Arabidopsis thaliana: one gene and its partners. The protein of the gene in region 1 interacts with the protein of each later gene in a pairwise test. Each region holds a gene or a part of one and is shown on either strand. Other genes may lie near its edges.

The links.
Region 2: the proteins of AT1G60010 (region 1) and PKP-ALPHA interact in a two-hybrid assay, tested with the Arabidopsis thaliana proteins (one large-scale study listed by BioGRID).
Region 3: the proteins of AT1G60010 (region 1) and AT4G35110 interact in a two-hybrid assay, tested with the Arabidopsis thaliana proteins (one large-scale study listed by BioGRID).
Region 4: the proteins of AT1G60010 (region 1) and BBX16 interact in a two-hybrid assay, tested with the Arabidopsis thaliana proteins (one large-scale study listed by BioGRID).

The regions. Positions count from the first base shown.
Region 1 is NC_003070.9:22,094,785-22,101,703, reverse strand, and holds AT1G60010 (D-ribose-binding periplasmic protein), read left to right. Parts: upstream 1-5,083; 5' UTR 5,084-5,269; coding exon 5,270-5,555; intron 5,556-5,648; coding exon 5,649-5,779; intron 5,780-5,939; coding exon 5,940-6,044; 3' UTR 6,045-6,419; downstream 6,420-6,919.
Region 2 is NC_003074.8:8,135,357-8,143,949, forward strand, and holds PKP-ALPHA (Pyruvate kinase family protein), read left to right. Parts: upstream 1-3,828; 5' UTR 3,829-4,012; coding exon 4,013-4,615; intron 4,616-4,714; coding exon 4,715-4,805; intron 4,806-4,910; coding exon 4,911-5,104; intron 5,105-5,296; coding exon 5,297-5,418; intron 5,419-5,558; coding exon 5,559-6,037; intron 6,038-6,113; coding exon 6,114-6,415; 3' UTR 6,416-6,696; downstream 6,697-8,593. Other genes in the region: AGG2 (G-protein gamma subunit 2), read left to right, coding at 1-12, 93-137, 227-311; ARFC1 (ADP-ribosylation factor C1), read right to left, coding at 1,008-1,367, 1,966-2,157; AT3G22961 (Paired amphipathic helix (PAH2) superfamily protein), read left to right, coding at 6,782-7,453.
Region 3 is NC_003075.7:16,710,034-16,717,892, reverse strand, and holds AT4G35110 (phospholipase-like protein (PEARLI 4) family protein), read left to right. Parts: upstream 1-3,101; 5' UTR 3,102-3,576; coding exon of another isoform or gene 3,577-3,590; 5' UTR 3,591-3,667; coding exon 3,668-3,690; exon of another isoform or gene 3,691-3,883; coding exon 3,884-4,029; intron 4,030-4,109; coding exon 4,110-4,405; intron 4,406-4,492; coding exon 4,493-5,233; 3' UTR 5,234-5,478; downstream 5,479-7,859. Other genes in the region: AT4G35120 (Galactose oxidase/kelch repeat superfamily protein), read right to left, coding at 1-212, 255-1,087.
Region 4 is NC_003070.9:27,775,113-27,782,636, forward strand, and holds BBX16 (B-box type zinc finger protein with CCT domain-containing protein), read left to right. Parts: upstream 1-3,871; 5' UTR 3,872-4,101; coding exon 4,102-5,019; intron 5,020-5,149; coding exon 5,150-5,410; 3' UTR 5,411-5,697; downstream 5,698-7,524. Other genes in the region: AT1G73860 (P-loop containing nucleoside triphosphate hydrolases superfamily protein), read right to left, coding at 55-132, 236-319, 404-531, 637-865; AT1G73875 (DNAse I-like superfamily protein), read left to right, coding at 6,000-6,291, 6,430-6,593, 6,667-6,732, 6,806-6,858, 7,200-7,281, 7,507-7,524.

The DNA of each region.
Region 1 (6,919 bases):
TTTTCTCATCACAGGAAGTAACTCCAATCTTATCGCTCAATTTATTACATGTTTGGCTAATCGCTTCTCTTTAAAAGATTTGGGCCAGCTGAGTTACTTTCTTGAAATCGAGGCGACAAGGACGAAAGCAGGATTACACTTAATGCAACGTCGGTATGTTCTTGACTTACTTACCAAAACAAAGATGTTGGACGCCAAAACAGTCTCCACTCCAATGTCGCCAACACCGAAGCTGACGCTAACATCTGGCACTCCCATTGACAATCCCGGAGGATACCGACAAATACTTGGCAGCCTTTAGTACCTCGGATTCACAAGACCTGACATTGCCTTTGCAGTCAACCGTCTCTCACAATTTATGCACAAACCGACCGATCTACATTGGCAGGCCATGAAACGCGTACTCCGTTACCTTGCCGGGACTCCATCGAATGGTATTTTTCTTCGCGCCAAAAACCCGTTAACACTTCATGGCTTCTCAGATGCTGATTGGGCAGGTGATAATGAGGATTATGTTTCCACCAACGCATACATCATATACCTTGGCGGAAATCCCATTTCATGGTCATCCAAAAAACAACGTGGCGTCGCTAGATCCTCAACCGAAGCAGAATACCGTGCAGTTGCAAACGCAGGCTCCGAAATTCGATGGTCATCTCACTTCTCACTGAATTTGGAATACCATTGCCCACTACTCCCGTCATCTATTGCGATAATGTCGGAGCAACATATCTCTCCGCCAATCCAGTTTTTTATTCTCGTATGAAACACATTGCCTTGGACTATCATTTCATACGAGACAATGTTCAAGCTGGGATACTACGTGTTGCTCATATCTCCACCAACGACCAACTCGCTGATGCTCTTACCAAGCCTCTCTCCCGCCAACGTTTCACAGAAATAAATAACAAGATTGGAGTCATACAACTGCCTCCATCTTGAGGAGGTGTATAGAGGTTATGTATAGTTAAGGTATAATTGTAACTAGTATTACCCTAATCTCTCGTGTATATATATTGTAATCACAACCTCTAATGATAATTAAGCTTCACACTTTATATATCCTTCTCAAATTATTTGTACGTTATGTGCAAAGATTTTATTAATAATCGATGTGTTCATTGATTTTTTTAATAAAAAATAATGACCAAAACTCAATTATTTTTTTTAAATAAAAACATTAAAGACAAAATTTCTTTCATGGTCTGTGATAATTGAAATATTGCATGTTAAAAGATGACCTTGCTCTTACTTTTTTTTGTCAACAACCTTGCTCTTACTTAGAATGGATAAGTATATATGAAATAATACAAAACATTGTATTTTTTGTTATAAATTTTTGAATACTATAAGTAAGTATAGCGATATCAGATCAACCCGTTGAAGTTCCTAAAATTTACCAAGAAAAAGTAGGTTCAAATTTTTTACAGCGGCATTGTAAACAACGAAACGAAGACCAGCCAAAACAAAAATATGTCCAGTTAAGATCGATTTAACACACCTGTTTTACAATGTTACAAGATTCATTGTGGTTAAAATAACATAATTAGATGATTTAAAGGGCTGAATTAATTAGTATTTGGTCATGGATTGGGATGTGCAATTATATCGATGTAGAGAACAAACTTGAAAATGAAGTTTCAATCGTCAAAGACATTTAATAAGTTGAGAGACGAAAGACCTTCCAACACCTTCACATGGCACACACACACACACACACACTCTGACCGTTGTATCAGATCATGTGTTCACACATGTCAACAATTAAAGTCTTAAACTAAAAATATAAGCTAAATCCTCGGGATTTAATTATACTTAATTTATTTTCATTATTCCTATATACTATTTAATCATCTCAAGATATTTCACCAACAAGTCCAAGATGCTCTGGAAGAATAGGCTGGTTTTGTTTGTGTTTAACGAAAGTAAAAAAGATTATTATAATTTGTGATGTTGGGTGGATGAAGAACCAAAGGACACAATTTGCGATCCAAAATCTTTTCTTTTTTCTTTTGCGTGTTGGTCGCCGTACAAACGTCAATGTGATTAGGTCTCCGTATATATGCAAATCTGAATTTTAACTTTAGCTATTATTATTTGTTTTACAAAAAAGGTTTGTACAAAATCAATGAATGGTGAAACTATTAGGTAGGGACGTACGTAAGGATGTATCCACGAAGGACAACACTTTTTAATATATATTTTTTGCAATTTTAAAATATAATTTTGATGGCACACTACTGATAATCATGAGTCAGGTAAATTACTTTATCATGAAGATATTTCCTTAGGATATCCGAATTTGCGGTTCTATTTATAATAGGAATTGATTACGTCATGTGAGTATTTGCATATTCTTGATTTTACGGACCAATAACTCGAAAATGGGTCCATAGTTACTGTATATCGTTTGGTAATAACTGTGATCATTAAAATCGTAATTTGAATAAAATGTGTATAGTAACATAAAATATCGCACGATGGTCTCTGTATCTCATGTATTACATTTTAACATTTACTTAGCGTGGCTGAAATTTGGGATTGCAGTGATGGTTGATTTACCGGTTGTTCGAAATGTAAAACTACCATATGAATCTTATAAGCCACTGCAATTTACATGACGTATCACATTCACATATATTAGAGAAACTTAGATTCACTAGGTTAATTAGTGTTTCTAATTACAAAGTAGAAAAAAGTTTGAGATCATATAACATAAAATATTGTAGTCTTTTAGTAAAAGTGGTTGTAATACATGTGCGATAAGATTGTTTTTTAATAAATCCTTAAATGAGCCCTATAATTACTACTCATGTTATAACGAGCTAATAGAACATTACTTGACTATTACTTCACTACTTGTCGAGTTGAAGCTATATATTTGCACCTCTTGGTTTTGTTGTTGGTTTTCATATTTCTTTTTGAATTGTTAAACCTCGTATATGGTTTTCTGAAATCTTTATGTCCCGTGTCTTTAAATTTTAAATCTAAAATTTACTTTAAGAAAAGTACAATAACAACCCTATAAAAATTTGAGTCAATTGAGACGGAAGAACTATGTACTTTATAGATTTCTCAGTATTCTTCCACTGATAATAATCAGATATATAATCATTCCTAGAAATCTCACTTTAGTTCGTCTTATAATCAAACCCTAAGTCCTAGCATATCTCTTCCATACGTAGTCATCATTAAAGTGGTGTTTTTAAGATATTTTTTTCCCCCTGGAAAAGATAACGTTAGTTTTATAAGATAAAAGAAGATGATGATGTAAGAAAACAAATACTTTAGGGGAAAGAGAGATAAATGACAATCATTGTGTGGTTGAACGTATAATATAGTTACTAAACAACAAATAACTAATGAGCTATAGGGGTCGAAGTTTGACAACAACAACAACAAAAAAAAGAAGCTATAGGGGTCGAAAAAACTTTCTTGCATTGTGGATAATCTCTCAATACCAAAAGTAGATTTTGCTGGTAACGAATATAGTAGTCACAATTGTCCATTTCAGATGGGAGTGAATTTCCCATATGGGTTCTTTCGTGAAGGAATGGGTACATTATATTTGCTATTCAAGAACACTAATGGGACGACCCATTCTTAGCCCTGAACCAATCTGCGACATGAACCGGAGTTCAAAAGAACCAAATCGGTACTAACCGAATGAATCATGCAAAAGTAAATAAAAACAAAAATAAAATGTCAAGAGAAAGCATTTAAGTCCGTGAAAGTGAGAAAAAAGAGATAAGAAGTTGCAGTGTCCCTTGTCCACCCAATCCACAATTTCTGTTTTTATTTATCTTTTTTTTTTTTGGGCTATTTATCTACCTATACTTTTGTTTATTTCTTTGCCCAAAAAAAAATACTAGCTTTTTTTTTGTCTCCAATTTCTAAAGTATTATTTTATTTTTGTTTTTTTATTCTTCATGAGTGGTACCAAAATTGATTTTTTGGATCTATTAGTTAGGTTATCTTCAGCTATCTCTGATTTTTTTTCTTATATTCGTCTAAATCTATATACCATATCGTTTTGTCCATGGTCCAAGTTCAACGTGCATTAAATGTTATATTCGGTCGAATTTGAAAATATGCAGAATAATACATAAGCTTCGGTGGTTGAAGTCTTGAAGATGAACTCATATCAGTATGACTAATATAGTACTATTTGGTACCCATTGTTATAATTTCAGTGTTAAACGTTATCTATACAAATGAGCAAAAGGGAAATATACACACAAAAAATCAGTACTAACTATCTTTAACATCATTTTTTCAAGTATATGCATGATGTTTATATCGAATTATGGGTAGTTGGACAAAAATAAACCTCTGTAAGAAAATATCGAAAAAATATTAGTTACCTATCGTTACGAAATTGAAACGTTACAACTTACAAGTGAAAAACGACTCGAAAAATATTACTTTGAAAATCTGCCGTTTCAAACTAATATTTTTCTCCATTCTTACAAACGTTACAAACATATTAAATTATAAATTAAACAAAAGAAGACAACACCTTACGTTTCTTTTTCAGAAAGTGCAATTTATGTAACTGATATTTTTTATTTGATTACACAAAAAGAAACTTATTAACTTCGGAACGATAAGTTATTCTTTGACAGTAGTAGTATAATCAAGTCCTAAATAAAAGTCAAACGCTACAACATTCGATGATTAACTGCTAAAAACTATGGTTTATTGGCTTATCACATGATCTAAAACGAGTAAGAAAATTAAATGCAACTTAAATTATATGAATCAGTAAGAACAAAAACAATGTCAAAATCATCGGTCCCTGATCTCCGGTGCCGGCACCCACCCGTTCAAATCAACTATTTAATTTCCGACCATCCTATTACTCTATTCCATTAAATTTTTAAACTCCAAAAATAACAAAAATTAAATAAAGTAAACGTCAGAGATGCCCCAGGCAACCACAGTCAAATTTGCAACAATATGGTTACAAATCTTTAAATAATATTATTATTCTTATCATTAATCAACTCCCAAATGACAGTCCAATTAAATAATCACAAAACATCATAAAAGTGACCAAAATTAAATAATAACAATTGTTTTTTGGGTTTCACATGTTTTATAAGCAAAGCCAGTGTGGTGGACCTAACTCTTCACGCTGTCCCGAAAAAGACTCTTCTCTTCTCTCTTCCTCTTTCCTTCACACAACTCTCTCATTCTACTCTCTGTTTTTTTTCTTTAATCATAACATTTTTTTGAAGAACAGAGATTCTTTTTGTTTGTGTAAGAGATGGGAAATTGTCAAGCGGTTGATGCGGCTGCGTTGGTTCTACAACATCCTGATGGCAAGATCGATAGATATTACGGTCCTGTATCCGTTAGTGAGATCATGCGTATGTATCCTGGTCACTACGTTTCTCTTATTATTCCTTTGCCGGAGAAGAATATTCCGGCGACAACAACAACAACAGATGATAAGAGTGAGAGAAAGGTTGTGAGGTTCACGCGCGTGAAACTTCTCCGACCAACGGAGAATCTTGTACTTGGTCATGCTTATCGTCTCATCACTTCACAAGGTTTGTTCTTGTATATTTGTTTTTGTTTAGCTTGTGTCTGTTTGTGTTCTTGTAATGGGTTTCTGATTAAATTAGCGTTTGATTTGTTTTCAGAGGTTATGAAGGTTTTAAGAGCCAAGAAGTACGCGAAAACAAAGAAACACCAAAGTGAAACGAGTAAGGAGAAGAAGAAGCCATCATCGGAGAAGAAGATTGATGAAGAATCCGACAAGAATCAGAATCTGGTACGGAATCTTTACTTAGAATTTAAGATATGGTTTAGCTTCAAGAATCAATTTTCACTCGAATAATTAAAGTAATTAGTTTAAAGATTTTACTCTATTTCTTTCCCCAAATTAATATAAAATTATGAAAATTAATGGGTTTGTGTTTTTCTTTGTATAGGAAACGAAAGATGAGAAGCAACGTTCAGTGTTAACGAATTCAGCTTCATCGAGATCAAAAACATGGAGGCCATCATTGCAGAGCATCTCTGAAGCTACGAGTTGATGTTTGGGTTTTACGTGAGGGACAAGAAACGTAGTCTCTGTGTGTGAATCATTCAGAAGATGGAATCTGAAGAAGAAAGAGATATAAACATTATTGAATAAACTCTTCTCTTATGTTCCTTTCTGGTTATAATTTACATAGGAGATGAAAATTTTATAGATTAAGATGTAAAAAGAACTATGCAGAGATTAAGAACTAAGTCCCTTTTTTGTCCTGTTAATGTATATATGTGCTCCATGTGAAGAAATCAATCAAAAAATAGATTGTAAAAACATACGTTTTTGTTGGTGTTTACTGGTTTACACAAATTCTTGGAATAAAGTTCAAAAAACTTTAGTTAAATGAGTCCAAAAACATTTGATTTAGATGGTTATGTGAGGTATAAATGGTTGTAAGAATTGCATTGAGTTGGATTGATCATTGGTAGGTACACATCCTTTCATGCATTTATGGGATGGTTTTTTAAGAAAATAACCAATTTTATTTGAGATTATTAGTTATTTTTCTTCAGAGAAGTAGTAGACTTTCTCAAAATTTATATTTCTTTGAATGGAAAATCAAATTGAATTTACATTGTCTTTTTTTTTTATAACTACTTTTTTCATTTTTTTAGCAAATAGTATAACATAGATGAGCTAAGTAAACCAACAAGGATGGGCATTTGCATCAAACCCATACCAAACCAAAAAATTGAACCGATATTATGAATCAAGAATTTAAGATATCCTTGAAATAAAAAATCTGAAAATCCAACTGAAGCCAGCCAATGTTTTTAGACTCTATAAAAAGATATCTGATTAATAAATTGTTACTTTTAATTTTAATTTTTTTTTAATCCAGAAAACAAAAAATCAATGGTCAAAACATACATAGAA
Region 2 (8,593 bases), on another chromosome or scaffold:
ATCCTGCAAAGAGTAAGAACTTGTTACATAACTGATATCCGGTTCACGAATAATCATTCCACAAGCTTGACTAGTTTCTCGAATGGATGCAGGTTCTTAGACAGTGTTGACAGCAAACCCGATCCTCTTCTTCCCGAGTAATTCTTCTTCTGTTTTCTGATAGTTTCATTTCAATAGACTGTGAGATGATTAGGTCTGATATGTTTGCTTTTGTGACTACTTGCAGAACAACAGGTCCGGTGAATGCGACATGGGATCAATGGTTCGAAGGCCCTAAAGAAGCAAAACGATGTGGCTGCTCCATTCTTTGATCTTCCTTTCCTTCTCTCAAAATATTTTTGTCTCTACTTCTTCCAGAAGAGTGAGTTTGTGTTTTTACGTTCCCGCGGCAGTGAATTTGATGTAATTGGCAAAAAAAAAAATTGATTCATTTGTGCAGTAAAAAATCTATTGATCTTGATGTGTCTCTTAATTTAAGAAGACCACAGTGCCAAATTCACGCCACCACAAGAAAATCTAGCACAGTGGCCGTCGGTGATCCCCACACCAATGCATCTCAGTTCCAGATTGTCTTGGAAAAGTTCTCGTTTCTCGATGGTTTACATGTCGTGTTCGGGCAAGTTGTTGAAGGACTCGACGTGCTCAGGAGCATTGAAGACGAGGTTGGAACTTTGAACAGGATTCCTTCCAAGCCGGTGGTTATCGCAGACTGTGGTGAGCTCTGAGAGAGGCTACAATGGTGTCTTGTCTTGTTTTAATGGTTGCTCTGTTTTTGTTTTTAGTTCGTTTGGATTTTGAGTTTGGTGGTAGTTTTAAATCTGAAACAAAACAAGATTTTTTTCTTCCATATATGAAAATTCTGGACACAGTTTCAATGAGAGCAACCAAAATAGTTGAAGCTTGTTACATAAAAGTCAAGAGGATACAATGTTAAAGAACATATGAAGGAGACAAAAGAAACAAAGAAGAATAGTACGTACTCTCTCTGATTCAGTTCTGGTTTCCCCTTAACTCGTGGCTTTACCGGTAACTTTTTGGGCAATCCAACCGAGCCCATCATACAATCCTTCTCCAGTAACCGCACAACTTGCTTGAATATGCCAATCATGGTTCTTGATACTGTGAAGGTTAAGTGCATCCGTGATCTCAGCAGGAGTCATTGCGTCTTTCAGATCCTGTTTGTTTGCAAAAACTAGTATGACCGAGTTTTGAAGATCCTCATGACCAAGTAACCTGGCTAGCTCATCTTTCATGAAAGAGATTCTGGCTCTGTCTGTGCTATCTATAACCACAATCACAGCATGTGTTCCACGATAGTATGTTGCCCATGAAGTTCTTAGCCTATCTTGCCCACCAAGATCCCATACCTAAAGACAACATATCATAAAAGTAAACATCGCCTCAAATATTCGATTGCCAGTGTCCAACAGTTAGTTTTTGACAGGAAACAATTCAAACTTTAGTAAGTTTAGTTACGTTTATATTCATCATTGAGTTTTGACATATAAGAACACATGCAGATTGTCATAAAACAGAGATGAATTCATCTCAGGCCATGACTTTGACCACTGTATAAAGATGTTCCAAACAGTCCTCTGGCAAAAAAACTAAGCTAATGGGAAATAGCAAACAGTTCCTCCGGTATAACAAACAAGCTAGATAAACAACATCTACAAAAATTTACTATACAAAACCATAAATCGCACATACGAAAACGTTCATTATGAGTTTCTGACACCTTCTCAACCAATCATGACAAGAACTTAGACAAAAACATCATCCATTTTTCAACGAGAAAAATGCACACACCCAAGCAAGAAACATAGCTAGGGACAATAACACAATCAAAAGATGGCAATGGCAAATTTAAGAAACATCCATAAAGTTTCAAACTTCTAAAACACGTCCCTAGATAAGAAGCTAAGAAACAACTTCACCCAAATGAATAAAGAAAGAGTCCAGTACCTCAAAGCGAATATTCTTGTAGACAAGCTCTTCAACATTGCTACCAACAGTAGGATGAGTAGTAACAACTTCACCCAAATGAAGTTTATAAAGCGTCGTCGTTTTACCAGCATTATCCAAACCAACAACAACAATCTTATACTCTTTTGCAGGAAACATCATGAACCAAAACCTCGACATGAATGCTCCCATCTCCTCCAATTTCTATCACAAACAAGATCCTAATCAAATAAAACACATCATTACTTTTACGATCAAATTGTTCTACAAACAGAGTGAAATCGAGAAACCCTAAAGATACATCCTTTAAATTGACCCATCAATTTTACAAACCCAAGTAATTGAATCAGAGAAGCCCAGATCAGATTTGGATACAACGATCCCAGATTCGATAAAGTTAACCAAATCTAAATTATATATATACAAATCGGGAAATTTGTGATCAAACCTTGAATCAGCTAGAATCTGAAGATTGCAGAGGTAAGAATCGGAGATCAAAAAAAGTTCTTCTTCTACTATTTTGTAAGCTTTTGAGGTTCCTTCCTTAAAGCAGATGGGTGGAGAGAAGAAGAAGAAGAAAAGTATGCGGGAAACAATGTCAAAACTGTAAATATGATGATCTAAATTATTAATAACTTTTAATATAACAAATATTAAAATGAAAACTATATAGTAATGTTTTCTTTTACTTACCCAAACGGCTGCAGCCTCTACCGTAATGGCACCGAACACGTCACCGCCATTAGCCACGACGCCAAAGACGAACATTGTTGAAGACTTGAAATCCACAAAGATGTTTTTAAACGAGAAAAAAAAAAACTCAAACGGGCTTAGGGCCTTTCCATATATTTTAGATTATAACAATTACATTTTCTCGGCCCACAGAAGTATATAAAATTAAATAGAAGTAAATTATATTGAGGATTTAAAATAACAAATTTAATTATAATTTGAAATCATGGTTATAATACGATCGTGTGAAATGTTAATTAAATGCTTATATTGATTATTTTATTATTAAATTTGTGCTAATTTTGGTAACGAATCTTATTTTTGTTATTGTATACGATGATTTAAAATATATATATATATATATATATATATATATATATATATATATATATAATAGTTCTAGAAAAGTCTAATTGGATTTTTTAGATCCTATCATAGTTGATAGTTCTCTTTTTGTATATGGCTAGCAATGCGGAATCGACTCTCTACATTAGATTCAATGAAGGCTTGGAATGTGAACTTGAATCGAACATGTGTGTTATGTAACACTCTTATCGAGACACGAGAGCACTTGTTTTTCAGCTGTAAGTACTCGTCGGCAGTCTGGTCCTCCCTAGCGAAACCACTACTCTAGTGACGATTCTCTACAATATGGCAAGCTCTAGTCATTATTATTACTTCTGATCACTGTAACAGAATCCATATATTCTTCCTCTAATACAGTTTTCAAATAATGGTTCATTCGATTTGGCGAGAACGCAATAAAAAAAACACACAATAAAACTCTGATTCTTATCACACATCTTCCTAAGTGAATAGATAAGCTGGAAAAAAAAAAAACTCTCAATCATTTGAAAGGAGAAATATAGTAGATACGAACCAAATCTCCAAACATGGTTTGCATCTAAAAGTCCTTAAAACCTCTCTTGTATAATCTAATTTCAAAACAATTTTGGAAAAGTTACATTTGATGTATCCTAACTTTATTTTTTCTTGGTCGAATTTAATATTTTATTAAAAATAATAATAGTAATAATCACAAAATCTAATTTGATCATTCTTAGGTGGGTAGGTACACTTATTTTACATACAGCCTCGACGGCACCAAAACATAGAATATATATATAAATACAAATACAAATATTCCAAATATAACCTCTCTCCCAAAGTCCTATCATATCAGAAAAAAAAAAAAAAATCCAAATTCAACACTCTCACACTTCGATATCTCCGCCTTCATTCTCCTCAGAGCCAACTGTCCTGAGATTTCGATTTCGATTTCTCCGATCTCTCTTCCTCCGTCGCCGGCGAAACCATGTCTCAGTCTATTCAATTCTCCACTCCTTCACACACTCCTCACCTTCTCCATCTCCCTCACTCACAATTCAACCGTCCTCTCTCCTCTATCTCCTTCCGTCGCTTCCCTCTAACAACCATCAAATACACTTCCATCAGAGCCTCCTCGTCATCATCTCCTTCACCGGATCTCGATTCATCGTCCTCATCATCATCCTCGCAAGTACTTCTCTCACCTAACGGTACTGGTGCTGTGAAGTCTGATGAGAGATCCGTTGTCGCTACGGCGGTTACGACTGATACGTCTGGGATTGAGGTTGATACTGTGACGGAAGCTGAGCTTAAGGAGAATGGATTTAGAAGTACGAGGAGGACGAAGCTGATCTGTACGATCGGACCGGCGACTTGTGGATTTGAGCAGCTTGAGGCGCTTGCTGTGGGAGGTATGAATGTGGCAAGGCTTAATATGTGTCACGGTACGCGTGATTGGCACCGCGGTGTGATTCGTAGTGTTCGGAGGCTTAATGAGGAGAAAGGCTTTGCGGTTGCTATTATGATGGATACTGAAGGTAGTGAGATTCATATGGGAGATCTTGGTGGTGAAGCTTCAGCTAAAGCAGAGGTTGTTTAATCTCTTCTTATTTTGATTTGAATTCGATGTAGACATTGCTGTGTTTGTGATTTAGATGTTTAAGCTTTGGTGGTGATGACATTTTTACAGGATGGTGAGGTTTGGACTTTCACTGTTAGAGCTTTTGATTCTTCTCGTCCTGAACGTACCATTAGTGTTAGCTACGATGGTTTCGCTGAAGGTATATGCAATTATGTTTATGTAAAAGTGGAAGTGAAAACATTAGATGAATATTATGGTGACTGCGTATGAAATAGGAATCATTTGGTCTTTGTGTGTGGTGTAGATGTAAGAGTTGGGGATGAACTTTTGGTTGATGGTGGGATGGTGAGATTTGAAGTGATTGAGAAGATTGGTCCTGATGTTAAGTGTCTATGTACCGATCCTGGATTGTTGCTTCCTCGAGCTAACTTGACGTTTTGGAGAGATGGAAGTCTTGTACGAGAGCGTAATGCCATGCTTCCAACAATTTCTTCCAAGGTTTGTAATTTTGTATCTTCCCTTTAAGCTTTGAATTATGATTCACTTTACTTGGTAAATTTGGGAGGGATCAAAGCAATGGTGAAGATGTACACTTTTGGAAACTAGATGAGTCCATGTTAGCAAAACAGATGATACCTGAGGGAAAACATACTCATTTTCACTGATGATACCTCAATTCTTTATATTCAGGACTGGTTGGATATTGATTTTGGAATTGCTGAAGGTGTGGATTTCATTGCTGTATCGTTTGTCAAGTCGGCTGAAGTCATTAATCACCTTAAAAGTTATCTTGCTGCTCGTTCCCGTGGAGGGTAAGTAAACATGCTCAATATCAACACATCATACTACTGTACAGGAAACATATGATCTACTTTGGGATTGGGTTTTGCGTCATGTATTCACCATCTTTAGTTATAGTTTTATTTTGATGTTGTATTCAACTATGATGCAGGGAAATTGGAGTGATTGCAAAGATCGAGAGTATCGATTCACTGACCAATTTGGAAGAAATTATTCTAGCATCAGATGGGGCCATGGTTGCAAGAGGAGATCTGGGAGCTCAGATACCTCTTGAGCAAGTTCCAGCAGCTCAACAGAGAATCGTCCAAGTATGCAGAGCTCTTAACAAACCCGTCATTGTCGCTTCACAGCTATTGGAGTCCATGATTGAGTACCCAACTCCAACCAGAGCAGAAGTTGCCGACGTGTCTGAAGCAGTAAGACAAAGATCAGATGCATTGATGCTCTCTGGAGAATCAGCTATGGGACAATTCCCAGACAAGGCGCTCACGGTTCTAAGGACTGTCAGTTTAAGAATCGAGAGATGGTGGAGGGAAGAGAAACGCCATGAGTCTGTACCGCTTCAAGCCATAGGCTCTTCATTTTCAGACAAAATCTCAGAAGAGATCTGTAACTCAGCTGCTAAAATGGGTAAATTTAGGTTCTTTGTTTTCCATAGAAGGCAATATGTCTTTAGTGTCTCATTTTACTATCCAAAAACTTGCAGCTAACAATCTTGGAGTGGACGCGGTTTTCGTTTACACAACGAGCGGACACATGGCATCACTGGTCTCCCGATGTCGCCCGGACTGCCCGATCTTTGCTTTCACAACCACAACCTCAGTGAGAAGACGCTTAAACCTACAATGGGGACTTATCCCATTCCGTCTCAGCTTCTCAGACGACATGGAAAGCAACTTGAACAAAACATTCTCGTTACTGAAATCAAGAGGTATGATCAAATCTGGTGACCTCGTGATCGCAGTCTCGGACATGCTGCAATCAATCCAGGTAATGAACGTCCCGTAATTCTCTCTCTTTATACAATTTCGCAATCCCGCAAAAGAGTGTTTTGTTTCCTACTTTTGTTACTGTTTTTAGACTACTCTTACATTAGATTCCAGAGGCATCATCATCTTCGGTTTGTTAACAACAGTAATGTGTAAGCTTTGTTTGTAGTGTGTACTGTTTGTTTTTGGTTTTCAATAATATCAGTAATCTTATTCAAATATTCGATTCTATCATTTAGTCCTTTTGTTTTATCTTTTTGTTAGGATATATATGTAAACCCAAATAGGATGAGTTCGAATATATACCATAACCCTATATTATAAATAGTGTATATATAATCACAATTAGAATCGCCTCTCCATTAGAGAAGATATTTGAACAAACATGAAAAGTTGCAAGAGACCTCGGATGAAGAATCAAGAGAGAGATTTTTATGAAACTCCGTCGGATTGTTCGGAAGAAGAGATTCAACGGAGTTGCGAGTTCGTGAAAAAAGTTAAAGAGTTGGATGATAAGACAATCATCGTTAAATTTTTAAATGCAATGAAGTCTTATCGATCTAAGTCTTTAAGTTACATCGATCTCAAAACCAAAGTCGCTTCTATTCTTCGTAACCACGACGCTCTGCTCCAAGAATTCCATCAGCTTCTTCTATTAGATTCACCTATCACAGAGAAGGATTGTAACTCGGCAAAATCAGACGTAGAACGCACGGTTGAGTTGATGAAGAAAGTGGAAGGTTTGGGAAAGGGTTTACACGGTGCGTTCCTAAATCAGCTGGTGTTTGGCGGTGATATTGTGGATTTGGTTGAACAACTCGACGTGATTCTCTGCGATCACGCATCTCTTAAAGAGGAGTTCATATTGTTTCTAGTTGATTCCCGTTTACTCAAAAAACCGAAACGTGGTTTTGAGGCGGGGGCAGAAGAGTATAAGACTAGACTTGAAACTGAAGAGGAATTATCATCCTCTGATGAGTTTTTAAATGGGAAATACGTTTCAAAGAGTCAGTATGATCTGGATCAAGTGAAGAAGAAGAGACTGATGCAAGAGTAAGAAGACGAAGATGACTGATGCGAAAGAATTTAAGGTAAAAACGAAGCTATGACCGTCAAGAACTAAAGAGCAATGTGAACAAGTGAAGAGAGTTTTGTTTCTTTTATTTTTCTAGTCTTTTTTTTTTATTATTGATTTGTGGCTACATTGTGATTGTGATTGTGAATCTCGTTATGTTTCTTTGCATTCGAGTCTTCCAATGTTGTTTTCTATTCACCAAAAAAAAAAAAAAAACGTTGTTTTCTTAGGAGGGCGTAATGAATCCTTTTTCAAAGTTTTTATGCACACTTGATTTAAAAACGTGTTTAGGAAGTTTATGAAAACTTCTGATACACTTTGGTTATCAAAAAGTTCATGAAAACTTCTTAAAAGACTCTGATACCATAAACATAACAAACACAATGCCTTTAAATGTTCTTGTCCTTTTTGCCTATTTTCGTCAATTTTCACACTTAACACACTTATACATTGATGCCTTCTTTGCTTGCTACGTAAACTCGGGATTCTACATTCTAAGGATGACGGGCTTATTTTCTAATGTTTGGCCCATTTAGGCCCGCAGGTTTTAACCCAACATCTTCGAATATATAATCATCGTCAATATATTGCTTTTTGATGTTGTTATTGCTATGGACCGGTGAGAGAGATATATTAGTTCGCCCCAATCAAAGTTAAACCAAATTTTTTTGGTCGAGGCCTCGAGTGAAACAAAAAAGATGGTGCTGTGAGTTACAAAAACAATCACTTATTTGTGTATAATTTGTAGAACTACTACACTTATATGTTATTTTTTCCAAGAATATCTCTATTTTAGGTTCAAATATATAAATTTACCCTCAGAACTAGTTGATAAATTTAATTTAAAATAAATAAAAAGTGTTGATCGAAAGAATAAAAAAATCGTAGCTCTATCTCAAATAGTAATTTCTTTTTAAAAGTAGTATTTCTATTACAAAAAAAAAGAACAAATGTCTGTTTATCTTTTTGAAAGTTATTCAAAAAAAAAATTGGCAATTGATAAAATTTCTAAAATGTGATATAAACTACTTTTACGGACTTACTTGTCACAACGGTTCATTTTAATATCTTTCCGAAAGTTTTGGGGTCCTCTTGACCAATCGTTTCTATGTTCAATATTCC
Region 3 (7,859 bases), on another chromosome or scaffold:
TAATCACAGCACACCAAATTTCCTTCTCTTGGCTGCGAATAAGGGAATACCCGTCTAGAATCATGATCCACTCGCTCCATATAATTAACAGTTTCCCACCATAGTTAACTAACTGAATCGTACGGTAGCCACAACCACGCTTATCGTATAGAACATCCAAACCCATAACTCTTTGCCACGCTCGATGACTTGAGCTATACCACGTGTACTTCCTGCACACATGATCAGCAAACATTATATTTCCTATAACGCACCAAGGTCGTCCAGTTATAGGTTTCATAACTTTTTCTATACCGCCGGACCAAGGTCCAGTTATGGGTTGTAAATCCACAGACCCCACGTCTGGTAGCCATCTTCCTTCATTCGGATCATATGCATAGTTGTTACGCTTGGTGATTACGTATAGCCTTTCTCCAGAAACTGCAACTTTGTGATTCGAATGGACGGCATAATTAACACTAGGGCTAGGCAGCGGATTCCAAGTCTGAGTCTTTAGGTCGAAAACTTCACCACAATTCATGGATTCTTCCTCACTCTTTCTGCATCCTCCTATTACATATATATTTCCGTCTAAAAAACAAGACTTGGCGCCTACCCTTGACACTCTCATGTTAGGAGCACGACGCCACCTGTGAGTCCAACAATCAAGTACAAAAACAGCTCTGGATCGCTTGCCCTTGACAGTTCCGCCGATTTTGTAGATTTCGGTACCAGCAGCTACAGTGGTTGAGTTTACTCGAGTACGAGGATAAGAGGAAGAGAGCCTTACCGGTTCTAAACTTAGTTTACCCTCAATCTCGGCTAGGGTGAACCAGCGATGTTTTTTGGGTAACCACAGGCACACGTACGGGCAAGGCTCTGTCGCTCCGATGTGGGATCGGGCCGCGTAGATCTCTGTAGAAGAGAGAAGAGAGTAAAAGCTTTTGGAGACTAAAGAGAGGGAACGGTAGTACGATTTAGAGATCAGGGCTAAGAAACTTAAAACGATTTCATCTGGAAGTGATGAAATCGACATAGATAATGGAGTTTGAGCTGTGAGAATCGTCTTCTTCGTTTCCTGAGGTGGTTCTACTTTGGCGGTGTCCATAGCAACGATACCGTGTTTACTAAGCTCAGGTTTTAGGTCTCAAATTAGGTCTTATATAAGACAATAGTAAAAAGGAAATATTTTCTCCTTAGTTAAAATTAATGAACAAGTCCCCTGAATTAAAATAAAATACCAAATCGCCCGTTTTTAAAACAGATTTCAGTATTGAACCCTGTTAAAACCGGTTTGAAAACTAAAGTAATATTAAAAACGATAACAATTAACAACACATCGTTATATATACATTATGTTGTGTTACTGGAATTTCGGTGTTCAGTTTTTTAAACCGAACTCACCAAATTCGTATAAGAAAATCTATGGATTTATCGTATAAAGAACTTTTCTATGCTGCTTTCAAACTTTTTTTAAGATCCCTCCCTTGATTTTGGTATACCTTCAAATGTACATGTATACACAAAAAAAAAATGAAAGACAGAAAGATACACTTACACAATGTAACTTGCTTGATGATTCATAGTCATAGGATTTGAGACTTCTCTAACAATGCACTAAACTAGTCTCTTTCTTGGAAGATTTCTTGATGGAGACACGAGTAAGCTTTAGGGGAAAGAAGAATTTATCATGTTTCAGGTGACTCGTTCACACGATTGTGCAGGTATACTGACAATATTTCTATTTTTTATTAGAAAAATATGGATTTGGTCATAAATATCTAATTTTCTGGAAAAAAAAAAGAGAAAAAAGAAACACCAACGAAGACAAATGAATGAAGAGTAAAATAAAATTAGAGAACAACAGGGAAAGAAAAAGACATGTTGCATGAATGAAAAAGAATGGTCGTATTAGAGTAGTTTGCTAAATGATTTATTTAAAGAATGTGCATTATAGTATTAACAAAATCTTTTCATGTCTTTTTAAAAGCCAACGCTCTAGAGTTGACTCTATGTATTTCTTCTTCTTCTTCTTCATGATATGAAGTCTGACCCCCAACAAAAAAGGATGAAAGTATTTTTGGGGAAATGGTCATTTATCGCTTCTGGATAAGCTACTCGCATTTCGAAACTATATTGTACTAATACTAAAATTACGACTTACGAAAGATGACACAATTAATAACAAAAAGATGCTTTTATCAGATTCTATAATAAATGTTGTTTCCTATCGGATCAACATGCATGCACTTTGACAAATCGGGTAGAAAATTTCCTTCCTTCGGATTGAATCATAAAAATATGTTTTACCTAAGCAATCTCCATAATATTATCAGAAAATTTGGTATCAACACTTATTCGCAAGTAATGATATTTATATATTTGATTTGATTTATACTTATCTGCAACAACAATTAGAAAAAATACTAAGAGATCCAATGTAAACATAACTTTATATTATCTATATTTATTAATTGAAAGATGTCTAAGTTTTATTGGTTAAGTAATAATGGACAGCAAAAAAAAAGATAACTTCTATGCATAAAATTAGACAAGAGATATAGCAATATGGTTAAGAACTTGAGATTCTTAAGAACCTCACGTGTGATGCAAACAATGACACGCAATAACGCGTTTTAACTGACAACTTTCTTTCTTTATTTTTGTCTCTTAAATTTCTTTTCCTTTAAGTGGTTACAGATTTCTACTTTCGATTCTCGTCGACTCTAAAAATCTCACTCGTATTTGTATAACCGTCCCACGTTGTTGTCCACTTCTGGAAGATAAGTGAGGTGTGTGATTGATTGCCGTTTCCAACCTCTTTTCAATTAAATGCTTCTCTCTATCTTCAATTGGTAATATTGGCTTTGGTCAATTCATCATCATCATCATATTATTATTATACCAAAGACAATGTCACATGAACCTTATAATATACACAACTGTTATACCTTATAAACAAAAATAAAAATCAACATTTTATTCATTTTTCTCCGCTCATCACATTTCTCTCCCTCTTCCGATTCTCCTGGTATATCTCTCTCTCTCTTTCTCTTTATTTCTCTGTTTGTTGATTGATTGCATTTTTGTGTGAATTAAAAGTTTGGTTCTTTGATCCACAAATAGATTCTTGATCTCGATCAGAATCGTGGGTTTGCTTTTGTTTTAAGAATTAATTCAATGATCGATGATGAAACTGATTGATACTGTTTTATTGTCATATGCTCTGTTTCTTTGCTCTGTTCTAAGGAAATTTTGTGACAAACGACAATCATGGAAAACGAAATTTCAACCTATTAAAAAAATATTATCCACAAGGGTGGGCCTTGGAAGTTTTTGTCTGTTCAAGAAAACAAGCCGGTCAAAATAATCTACCTTTTAACTCTGGTCTAAGTCAATAACTGAGTGCTTCCACCGTTGAAATTTAGTATCTCACTGGAAAATTGTACTTGGAAATTGCATGGTCGGTCCATGAAAGTATTAAGGAGAAGAAACAAACCAAAAGTCGTCTTTTTGTATCTCTCTATACCTATACATTTTATGATTTGATTGGTTTTGTGGGGATCAATTTCACTATTACTCGTAAGAAATTTCTTTATGGATATGTTTTGGTGAATCTCTCTCTGCTTCTCACAATCTCCCTCTTTACTTTTTTTCTTTCATCATATAAAGGGTTGGTGAAATATGAATGGAATCCAATTTCGTTGGGAGGTTGTTGTATATTATAAGTTTTTAGTGTCTAATCTTTTTGAACTATTTGTTGAAATTAAGGTGTAAAGGTTTGACCACTTACTTACCCTTAATGTGATATGTTCAGTCCTTTGACACCACAAATTTGAAGTTCTTGTGTTGTTCTTTGAGTTTGTCTTCTTTGAGCTGATTAGTTATCTTGATTTTGTTGCAGTTGTTCCATTCATCAAAAAGCTATGGATTTCAATAGAAAAGCTCATCCAGATTGCGTATATGCGGATAATCCTTTCCATGAATGTGCTTCAGCTTGTTTAGAGAAAATTGCTCAAGGCCATGTCAAGAAGAACACTAAGAAGCAAAGTACTTTTTTCTGCTTTTGATTTTGCCATTTTAAAAACTTTTCCTTTATGGATTCTGATTCTTGTTCTGTTATGTTACAGGTTCAAGGCTTCTTAGCTTCTCAGGGAGTTTCGGTAGGAAAAAGAAGGAGTCGAATTCACAACCGCCTACACCGCTATCCGCAAGGCCTTATCAAAACGGCAGAGGCGGTTTTGCAAATGGTAATTCCCCAAAGGTTCATCATTCTGTAGCTCCACCTGCTTCCGTGAAGAAGAAGATTGTTTCTGAAACGAAAAATTCTTTCACTTCTTCATCATCCGGTGATCCGGATGATTTCTTCAACCATAAACCAGAGAAGAAACCTTCTCAAACCATTCCCCTTTCATCAAACAATTTGGTATCTCATCCTTTACTCTCTTCCATGATTTCGACCACCATATCTTTACCATATTTGTAAACATCAAGATTCTTGTATCTTATGAAGGTTGATCAAAGCAAAGTGGTATCACCTAAACCGGGAATACAAGAACACAATGGGAAGATTGGAGAAGGCGGCGAAACTAGACTCTTTAGTTTCCTAAGCCTTCCAAGATCGCCTGGAAAAGAGAGCAATGATGATTTTTCTGATGATGATGACGAAAACAACAATGAGATTGGTGTAGAGCTCGATCTCGAATCAGTAATGTCTGACACTTTTGTCTCTGTCGGGAAATACCGAGTCAGATCGGGTTCATCCACTATACTAAGTGCTGTCATCGAAAAGCACGGAGACATTGCTCAAAACTGTAAGCTGGAATCGGATTCAATGCGATCACGTTACCTCGAGTGTTTATGCTCACTGATGCAGGAACTTAGGTCAACCCCGGTAGGGCAGTTGAGCAAAGTCAAGGTCAAAGAGATGCTTGCGGTTCTCAAAGACTTGGAGTCTGTGAACATTGAAGTAGCTTGGCTACGTTCTGTTCTTGAAGAGTTTGCGCAGTCTCAAGAAGATGTAGAAAATGAGAAAGAGAGGCATGATGGTTTAGTGAAGGCTAAGAGAGAAGAGCTTGAGGCTCAAGAAACGGATTTGGTTAGGATGGAGAAGGAAGTGGTGGAAGTGAAGCGGCGGATTGAGGAGACGCGGGCTCAGATGGTTGAGATCGAAGCAGAACGGTTGAGGATGGAGAAAATGGGATTCAAAATGGAGAAATTTAAAGGGAAATCGTTTATAGATGAGCTTCTGTGAGTTTGAGTTGTGTGTGATGTTGTTAGTAGTAAGCCAAGGGTAGTAGGTAATAGCACAAAATCAAAAATGCTCTAATAAATGAGTTTTTAAGGTTAGGGTTTTTAAGTATTATGGGAAAGCTGGTATTTATTGGTAACTTATAAAAAATATTAAGATATTTGGTTGTTGCTAATAAATACGTTTTGATTTGTGTGATGCATTTTTCTTTGGTTATGTTTTTTTTTTTTTGGTTTCTTTCGTTTTCTATAATGGGAAAGATTACAAGTTGCCTTCGAGTTTGGAAAACGAAAGATTGTTTATTAAAAATTAAATTCACAACTATATTTATTGTGTTAGTTATAGCAGAACTTGTTGAATATTGTATAGTATAGTTCTTTTAAATATGTGTATAGAAAATGTCAAAACAACACTTTTGCAAAATAAAGGAATGAATAATTTTGTTGAGTTCATTCTTTATTACACTCAATTTGAGCTCTACTCTTCGATTTTTTTGTTACTTTGTTTTTGTCGAAAAGTAGATGTTATTCCATAACGATGATTTTTAGGGGATTTTAAAGCCAAATATATCTTATGTTTTTATGTTATTCACTAGTTGATTTTGTTACATAATTGTTAGATTTGATATTTTTAAAAGTAACAAAGTATCGTACTCTGCTTTTAAACCGTTTGCAACGGACAAATCAATCTGTTATTTGCGACAATGCTACTGGGCTTCAGTTACTCATGTCGGCTTTACACCGAGCCCACTGAAACATGGCCCAACGGGAAGCTCCCCGTTGGGTTTGCTCACGAAACGAAGATTTAAGTGTAAACCGGAGAAGTTGAACCAGAAACCTCCAGATAAAGGTTTGTGGACCACAAATTGTGCTTGGTTTTGTTGCACAATGTGAGTAAGTAATTATAAATAACCTCATTGGAGATTCAGATCTTAACTAATAGACAGCAGTTACTTCAATCGTCTTTACTAGAAAAAATAAAATAAAATCTTTAAGTAGGCTCCAAAGGCTTTCACAAGATGGCAAATGACCTCAAAAAAACAAATTAGTTATCACGTGAAATCACCTTGACAGCCAATTTTTCCAGACACATAAAAAATAATCCGTAACATGGAATGATTAAAAAAGTTCGCAACTTTTAAAAAGTCTGAATTAGTGATTTATATCCAAAGTTGAAGATGTTTTTTGTCAACATATTATGACATCATTTCTTTCAAAAAAATGGACAGACAACTAAGTTTCACACTCAGCTGCTGTCTGTTTCAAGTTTATGTTTTTAGCTATACAGCATCAGATCGGTTAAAGTAAATCGGTTTAGGGATAAGCAGAGGGGTGAACCGGCCGGTCACATAAGGTATTTTGCAACTTGCAAAATTGCTATTATCCAGAACCAATAAAGCAATAGCTATTATAAAACAAAATTTAAGGCCCAACTATATGATGGTTCATACTTCATAAGCTGCTAGGGTTTACAAAGTTCAAAATGAGTGGACCATATTGAAGCTAAGAAGAGATAACGAAGAATCGATCATAACGGCTAAGTATTTAAAATTAAAACTGAGACACTAGGCGTATTAACCAGTAAAAGCGTGAAGGCCATCGTTGTGGTCCTTCTCTCTCTCTCTGTCTCCTCTGCATTCACTTTTCTGAAAAGACGAGACGTGAATTATTACTACTATTCCATGTAGACAAATTCGTATTTGTATTCATACTATTTTAAAGCCAACTCTCACTGTCGCAATTTACATCCCATAGACAAATTTAGTGCTTATTGCTTCCATGAGCATTTTCTTTTTTTTTTCTCTCTTTAATCAAATGCATTATTCAATTAAGTTGGTAAAGTCTTTTATACAAATAATTTCCTAATACATCCAAACACATATGCGTTTGGGTGGGTCTAAAGACTCTTAGCCAAAAGGAGTCTACTATATAACAATAACAATAACAATACGGTAACTAGACGCAGAAAAGTTACCCATGTGATAAACACATGAGCTACGCGACACGCGGCCTAAGAAAAGTTAGAGTGCGGTGGAAAAAATGGGTTTAATGTCTCGTTTCTTGTCTGGTTGTTACAACTCTATTGGCTCCACTCCTTTTTATCCTTTCACAAAAACAACAAAAGGTACTCGCACGAGTTCTTTTTCTTTTAAAAACAATACTAATTCTAACAAGTAACATCGAAAAAAAAGACTAAAGCAAATGGAGCGAAAATAGTTGTTTTCTTGTCAACTAACGAAAATGTAACCACATAGCAAATGGAATCCAATATTTCCTTCTCAACACGTGTCAATTAATGAATGGTTTACATATGACCCGATGGTTTAGAGTCGACACGAGGATAATAACCAAAAGACCCACACACCATGTTCAGCCGAAATTTGTATCTTAATTGGACGCTAGCTGTAATAATGTACATTGAAGGATCTTGTGATGTTGTGAATAATAAATTCCAACTTGGATTGTTCGATATTTACGAACTGACATGAAGAGAAAACATGAATTTGTAACTACTAAGAGAAACCAAAGGCAAACGATTAACAAAGACAATCAAAAACTAAAGAAGGAAATAGAAGTCACTGAGCCATTTCATAATTAACATCAATCCACCATCTCTCTCATTACACACA
Region 4 (7,524 bases), 5.7 Mb from region 1:
ACCAGAACTTGAACATTGCTAGGAAGCATTTTTCCTAAGTAAACAAAATCATACCGTTCTTAGATGTTCAGCTTGAGTTGATATACGCCGCTCAATCTCCTGCACGACTTTTCTTAACAGGCATGCCACACGCTGTTCATTGTAGCTTTTGTCAAAACATTTCCCAAGAAGTAAAAGCACAAAGGAAGGTATCTTATAGACGTGATGATCTTAATAATTGTTGGCATTCAAGTACCTGAGGGATTTCACCATTCTTTCTTTCGATACTTTCATCTAGAATTCCATTCAAGACGCTTAGCAATGACTGCGTAGGAGCATTCTGCATCAAACACAAGCCCACGACATTATCAATAGACTTCAAAAGAAAACTATAGTTTCATCATTAACAAGATAGAGAAAATACATCTAAGCTACTTGATTTCATCATTTCAGAAATCTTTGAAGCTTGAAGATCATAACGCCCCTGTTTCATTTGGAAAACCTCATGAAACTTGTGTCCTCCATGATGCATTGATCCAGGAGATAATGGATCTGCCGTAAATAGAAGACATTTAAATATTATACATACACATACATAAGTAGGCACGCATTGAGACAAATGGTATGAGTGATTTGCCAAAAAAAAAAAGAGAGTACCTAATTGGCCAGAGCTGGCAAGGGCTTGCTGAAATTTGGACTCTGCCAGACTTTTGTGCCTTTCATCTCCGGATAATGGAGAAAATGGAGAGAAAGGACTACGAGGAGTTTTTGTATCTGCATGATTTCTATGCCTATCATCTACAGATAATGGAGAAAAGGGAGAAAACGGACTACGAGGAGTTGAATCTCCATAAGGGCTGCCCGGTTGATCACGCATAGGATTCATCACGCCTCGAGGTCCAAAGCAAACTTATGGAAACACCTGGAAACCCCAAAACTGCTGCATTCTTTAGCAAAAACTCCTGAAACATAGTTGATTGAGGGAAAGAAAATGAGCATTAGACAAAATTCATAAGAACACACACACACACATAGAAGAGCAATCTAGATGAAAAGAAAACCAAAGCCTAGTTCTTTTTGTCTTTTCCTACATGCAAAGACGTGCAAGAACATGATCAAATGGCACTGCTAGACATAACTATCTCAGAGTCATCATTGTAATCAGCTTTACTCTGTAATAAAAAATCTTAGCTGACAATAAAACATAGTAACCAGAGTCAGGGATTACTGTGATGAATTTGAGAATTCTTAATTTATTATAAGGAAATTTCTCATATTTCCATATTTAAAGCCGATACTAAATCCTAACAATCACATTTCCATTAATTTCATTAATCTAGGGATTCAAAGATGAGATTTTTTCTAGTTCCCAGTATAAATTCACATGATTTAACCGTTATACAGCATTATGAATTGAGGGATTAAGACAAAAACAGCAACGTGAGACAATCGAACAAAACTTGATAAAACAAAACTAGCCAGAAGGAAACAAAACTAAAGACGAACCTACCAGAAGGGTACATTGGTGCAACAAGAGAAAAAAAAATTCAACATTGAAAAACCAAGTCAAAACATAGCTCAAAGTCGCGATCAGCAAAATCGCAACATGGCAACAAAGATATGAGGAGAAAGAAAAAAAGATGCGATCTTTGTTCTCATTACCTTAGAAAATCAAGACGATGTTTTTATCGGGAAAGCTTGGAAACGAGCGTTGAGGAGGTCTAAAACCTGAGAGAAGAAAACAGAGAGACGGAGAAAATAGACGTGATGGGAATGTGGGTTGATTTGATCTTTTGATTATTATTAGCGGATAATAGTAAACTAATTAAACGATTAATTTTTCTCTAATGATTAAAAATTATCTATACAGAGTAGGAAAAAAAAAATTGGGGTTTGTTTGTTGTACGGAGGGAGAGAGCGCGAATGTAGGAGGACGCGCAGTAATTAACAAGTCTTTTTTGGCTTCTCCAATCGTTTATACGGGTTTATTACACGTGGCAAATCCTTGCCTAAAATTAACGAGTATTTTAACAGATTATAAATTGGATTAAGAAACGATTAACTTGTAACATATAATTGGGGTACGACGACCAACGGAACATTTTAATATGTATCATGTATGATTTGGGCACACGTCGTGTTGTGGTACTTTACTTCCACCGTCTACAATATTATAGAGTTAGCATACTTTATACTTAAAACCATAGGTTATGAAAACAAAACCAAAAATATAGTAGTGGTAAATTGATCTTTAATTTCGTTCAAAATAGACAAGAAAATACTTCAGATTTAAGGAAAACGTTGTAGTGATACATTTATTTATCATATCGAGCTTTAATATAGGAATATTTGTTTTTATTGTTGTTACTTAATACTTATTAATTAGTGTTGGGATAATTTTAACTGTTTCAAGTACCGATCTATCACACTTCAACGCAGAGCAATCGGACGTATGAAAGCAAAAAGATTTCCCGCATCTATGTTAGCAAGTGGTCTCTCATATCAATCAAGGCCTATTGTGCCTCCACTTCCGAAATTCACTCGTTCGTCAATAGGTTATATTATTAATTCTACACATGTATCACAAAAATGTGCAGATTTCAACTTGGTGGTGAATGGTGATATAATTAAGGTTTGTATATCATGTCACATAACTTGCGTAAATTCCATATAAAGTAATATAAATAAAATGGTGGTGTAAAGCAGAGGAACGAGTCCTATGATAGAGAGATGTTCAATTGTTCGTGGGTCATGTGGCGTAAAATTGTTTGTTTCCTTGTTTCTTTTGGCGTAAACTGCAAAATTGCCAAAAATTCGATGAAGTCACAACCTCTTGATTTGTATATATTGTCACGTCGCTATATCACCACAATCAATTCCTTTCTTTAAAGGACTAGAATTCCATTACTCATATCATTTCCGTTATGTTAGATCCACAATAAATGATAATAATTAAATTTAGGACCCATTTGAATCTTTAGGTGCTGATTAAACACCCATCTCTAAGATCACAAAAGCAGAAATTTTACATTTTTAGTGACATATAATCCTTTTTTCTATCATCAAACATTAGAAGTTGGATGTTAAATGTTCTACAAAACTTCACAGGTGTTGTTGGAAGTTCCAAAAAAGAATGTCGTTTGCTATACAAAAAAAGAAAAGAAAAGATGAAAAGTAACTTCCTGCGTTTAAAGTATCACGCTGCGTTGCGGTCATGCAAACGCACCAACAAACAAAATAGTTTCAAAACAAAACTTGAAAATGTGGGGTCCACGTAAGAATCTCCATGGAAGAACTTGAGCCAATCAGAGTGCAAAAACGGAGATGACAGTATATTTCAACCAATAAGGAGGCAGAATCAGATCACCAGTGGGTTCCATTATAAGTTTCCTCTTGACTAACCACCAATAGCTAGTTTTACACAGAACTTAAATTTTTCATTTTTTTTTGTCTTTTAATATTTCAACAAGATCAATTTTATTATTTGATATTAACCATCTTCAACAGTGTTTGCCAACGAAAAAAAAACACCATCTATAACAGTGTCTTCACCAAACTGTATTTCACTATGACTTATTTTCCGAAAAGAATGATGAAGTTTAGTACCATACATGAACTAGCGGTTAGATCGTAATTAAGAATTTGAGGATCATATTTTACTATATCATGAAAACGGAGAGAGCGCAAAATTACAGACATATTGGTTCAAAATTTTATTTAAGAATAAAGTATATATATGGTTCTAATTTTTCAAAAAAAAAGTATATGGTTCTAAACATTTATTTGAAAGTACGTAATATAATGAAAACAAAAATTGTAAATTTGAAGTAAAAAACTCGTGAAAAGTCCTCATTCTAAAATACCATGTACACGTACATAATAAACTATGAATAGAATTATGAGTTTTTATTTATATTTCTATCTCCACTCCAAATAATTTAGACCACACAAGGTAATGAAAAAATAATAATTCTGAAAAAAATGAAAAATACTGCCGGGAAATCGAGACGCCACACACACTAGTGAATTCGTTGCAAAACCATATATATTACAGTATTTTGTTCTTCTCAAGGCCTCTCTCTCCATCTCAGCAACTCTCTCACTGTGTAATATACACACACAATGGTGGTCGATGTAGAGAGCCGAACCGCGAGCGTGACAGGAGAGAAGATGGCGGCGCGTGGCTGTGATGCGTGCATGAAGAGATCACGTGCTAGTTGGTACTGTCCAGCCGATGACGCTTTCCTATGCCAAAGCTGCGACGCCTCGATCCACTCGGCTAACCATTTAGCGAAACGGCACGAACGTGTCCGGTTACAATCATCTTCGCCGACGGAGACGGCAGACAAAACGACGTCGGTATGGTACGAAGGATTCAGGAGAAAGGCGAGAACGCCTAGGAGCAAGAGTTGTGCGTTTGAGAAGTTGTTGCAAATCGAGTCAAACGATCCTCTTGTTCCGGAGCTTGGTGGAGACGAAGATGATGGCTTTTTCTCGTTCTCCTCCGTAGAAGAAACCGAGGAGAGTCTGAATTGTTGCGTGCCTGTTTTCGATCCTTTCTCAGACATGCTGATTGATGATATAAACGGCTTTTGCTTAGTTCCTGATGAAGTCAATAACACTACTACTAATGGAGAATTAGGAGAAGTCGAGAAGGCAATCATGGACGATGAAGGTTTTATGGGGTTCGTGCCATTGGATATGGATCTTGAGGATCTCACTATGGACGTGGAGAGTTTACTTGAGGAAGAACAACTTTGCTTGGGATTCAAGGAACCAAACGATGTTGGAGTCATCAAAGAAGAGAATAAAGTAGGGTTTGAGATTAATTGTAAGGATTTGAAGAGGGTGAAAGATGAAGATGAAGAAGAAGAAGAAGCCAAGTGTGAAAATGGAGGATCAAAGGATAGTGATAGAGAAGCATCAAATGATAAAGATAGAAAGACAAGTTTGTTTCTGAGATTAGATTATGGAGCTGTGATTAGTGCTTGGGATAATCACGGTTCGCCGTGGAAAACCGGAATCAAACCGGAGTGCATGGTAAGTTGGTGTCTCTAGCTATATCTCTCATCTCTATGTTAGTCTTTAGTAGTGTCGAGTTCCGTTGACTTTGAGCTGATATATATTGATTATAAAAGACGAAATAACGTTATAAAGTTCACTGATCCAGTTGGGAGGGAACACGTGTCTGCCTCATGTTGTGGGTGGGTACGAGAAATTGATGTCGAGCGACGGATCGGTGACACGTCAGCAAGGGAGAGACGGAGGAGGATCGGACGGGGAGAGAGAGGCGAGGGTTTTGAGGTACAAGGAGAAGCGGAGGACGAGGTTGTTCTCAAAGAAAATAAGATATGAGGTTCGGAAACTTAACGCTGAGCAGAGACCTCGAATCAAAGGTCGTTTCGTGAAGAGGACGTCACTTTTGACGTGATTTGATTTACTTTAATCAACACTTTAAAGATCTTGTAATTAAGACCTTTGAAGTAATTGTCGTAATGTACTGAATAATGAACTGAAACTCTTGGGGCCGATGGTTGTGTAGACTTGTAGCCGGCAACTATGATTTTATAGATTGATTGATTGAGTAATTTATTGTATATATCAAATGAAAACTCTTTGTTTATCAAATGAATTGGAGAAAAAAGCCATAATGTGTGATAATAACGAACACTAAAAAATTCGTAGCGAAGACATGTTACAAAGAAAACAAGTGTAATTAAAAAAAACAAAAAAAAAACAAGAAACAAGTTCAAATTAGAACATGCCATTTCCAACAATTTACAAATGAAGCAAGAAATAAAAGCCATTAAGGCCTAGTTATGGCTGAATAGCCCATCACACAATTAAAAAAACCAACATAAAGAGCCCAACTAGGCAACTACTTAAGCCAACCGGTTTGGGTTATCAAGTACGTATTTTAATCGTTAACCAGTAAAAATCGTGAATTTCAACCGACTGAATTTGGTTAACTTCACAAGGTTGACGCATAGCTCACGCGCCGCCGACTTGCTACGATTGACATGAGCGGATACGAGCGTAAGAACACGACGGCGAACTCAATCACCATCACCAAGCGGAAGCGTAACTCGATTTCGGAACAATCGGAGAACGTATACGAGAAATCGAATAGGAAGGAGTCAATAACCTTAAAACCTCACCGTTCTTTTACGCCGGGATTCAGCCAGCGTGATTGTAAACCTGTCAGACATAGTAAGTCTTCTCTCCGCCGGCGACGGAGAACTAAGGAGAAGATCTCGAGTTCCGTTGAGCGCGAATGGGTGTTTTCCGCAAACAATTTTGAAAATCTAGCAGGTCTGTGTGCATTGCAATCACACTGAATAATGCACTTATATGCTTTTATTAGCTTCACGAAGTATCACATTCCGTACTTTGAACACATTTTTATCTTATGTGTATGAAAAACTTGATATCTCCTTTTCAATTCTTCAGATAAATTAGTATTAGTTTCGTACAATCTACTTGGTGTTGACAATGCGTCGAACCACATGGACTTGTATTACAATGTTCCGCGGAAGCACTTAGAGTGGAGTAGACGGAAACATCTCATATGCAAGGAGATTAGTCGTTACAATGCAAGCATCTTATGTCTTCAGGCAAGTTCCAGGGGATTGCCTAGATCTACACTATTTAAGTTTCATTGCATTCTCATGTCCAAATTTATTGCAGGAGGTTGACCGCTTTGATGATTTAGATGTTCTTCTTAAAAATAGAGGATTTCGAGGTGTTCACAAGGTATATATACGAGTCAAAAGCTTTATTACCTTGTATGCAATGGTGCCTTTTTCATACATTTAGTATTTTTTAGAGTCGGACTGGAGAAGCGAGTGATGGTTGTGCTATATTTTGGAAAGAGAATCTGTAAGTTCAGTTTTTTTCTATTTAGGATCATTTTTAATGTGGTGGGAAGTCTCTATATGCTGGAGTCAGGATCAGGAATCTAGCCATTTGAATTGTCTACAGGGAATATCTCTCTTTTGGAACGAGATAAATTAGATCTTCTAGTTATCTGTTTTGAATGTTTCGAAATTGTTAATGGTAGGTTCACGTTGTGTTATGTTATCAGCTTTGACCTTGGCTTCACAATATATTGTTCAAGGCTGAAAGCTTTGCTTTCTATTGTTCTCGATGTTATTTATTTTGTATTAGACTCTTACTCTACTAGTTTCATCATTTATGTTATATTTCTGCTGTGAATGCAGATTTGAACTTCTAGACCATCAACATATAGAGTTTGATAAATTTGGTATGCGAAACAATGTTGCTCAACTTTGTGTTTTAGAGGTATGCACCGTTTTAAGTTATTTCTGTATTGTCGTCTTCCCCCTCTTTTCTCCTCTGTCTTTTCTTGATTCTAGAAGCACAGAGATATGACAAGCTTAATTGTGGGCATTATTTTATATATTTTTCCCTCCTGTTGTGTTTTCAGCTTTGCAGGCTAATTGCTTAATTTTCTTAGTTTCAGCCCTTGCAATTAATTAATTTACTTGATTGTCTATTACGGAACAGATGAACTGTGAGGAGGAC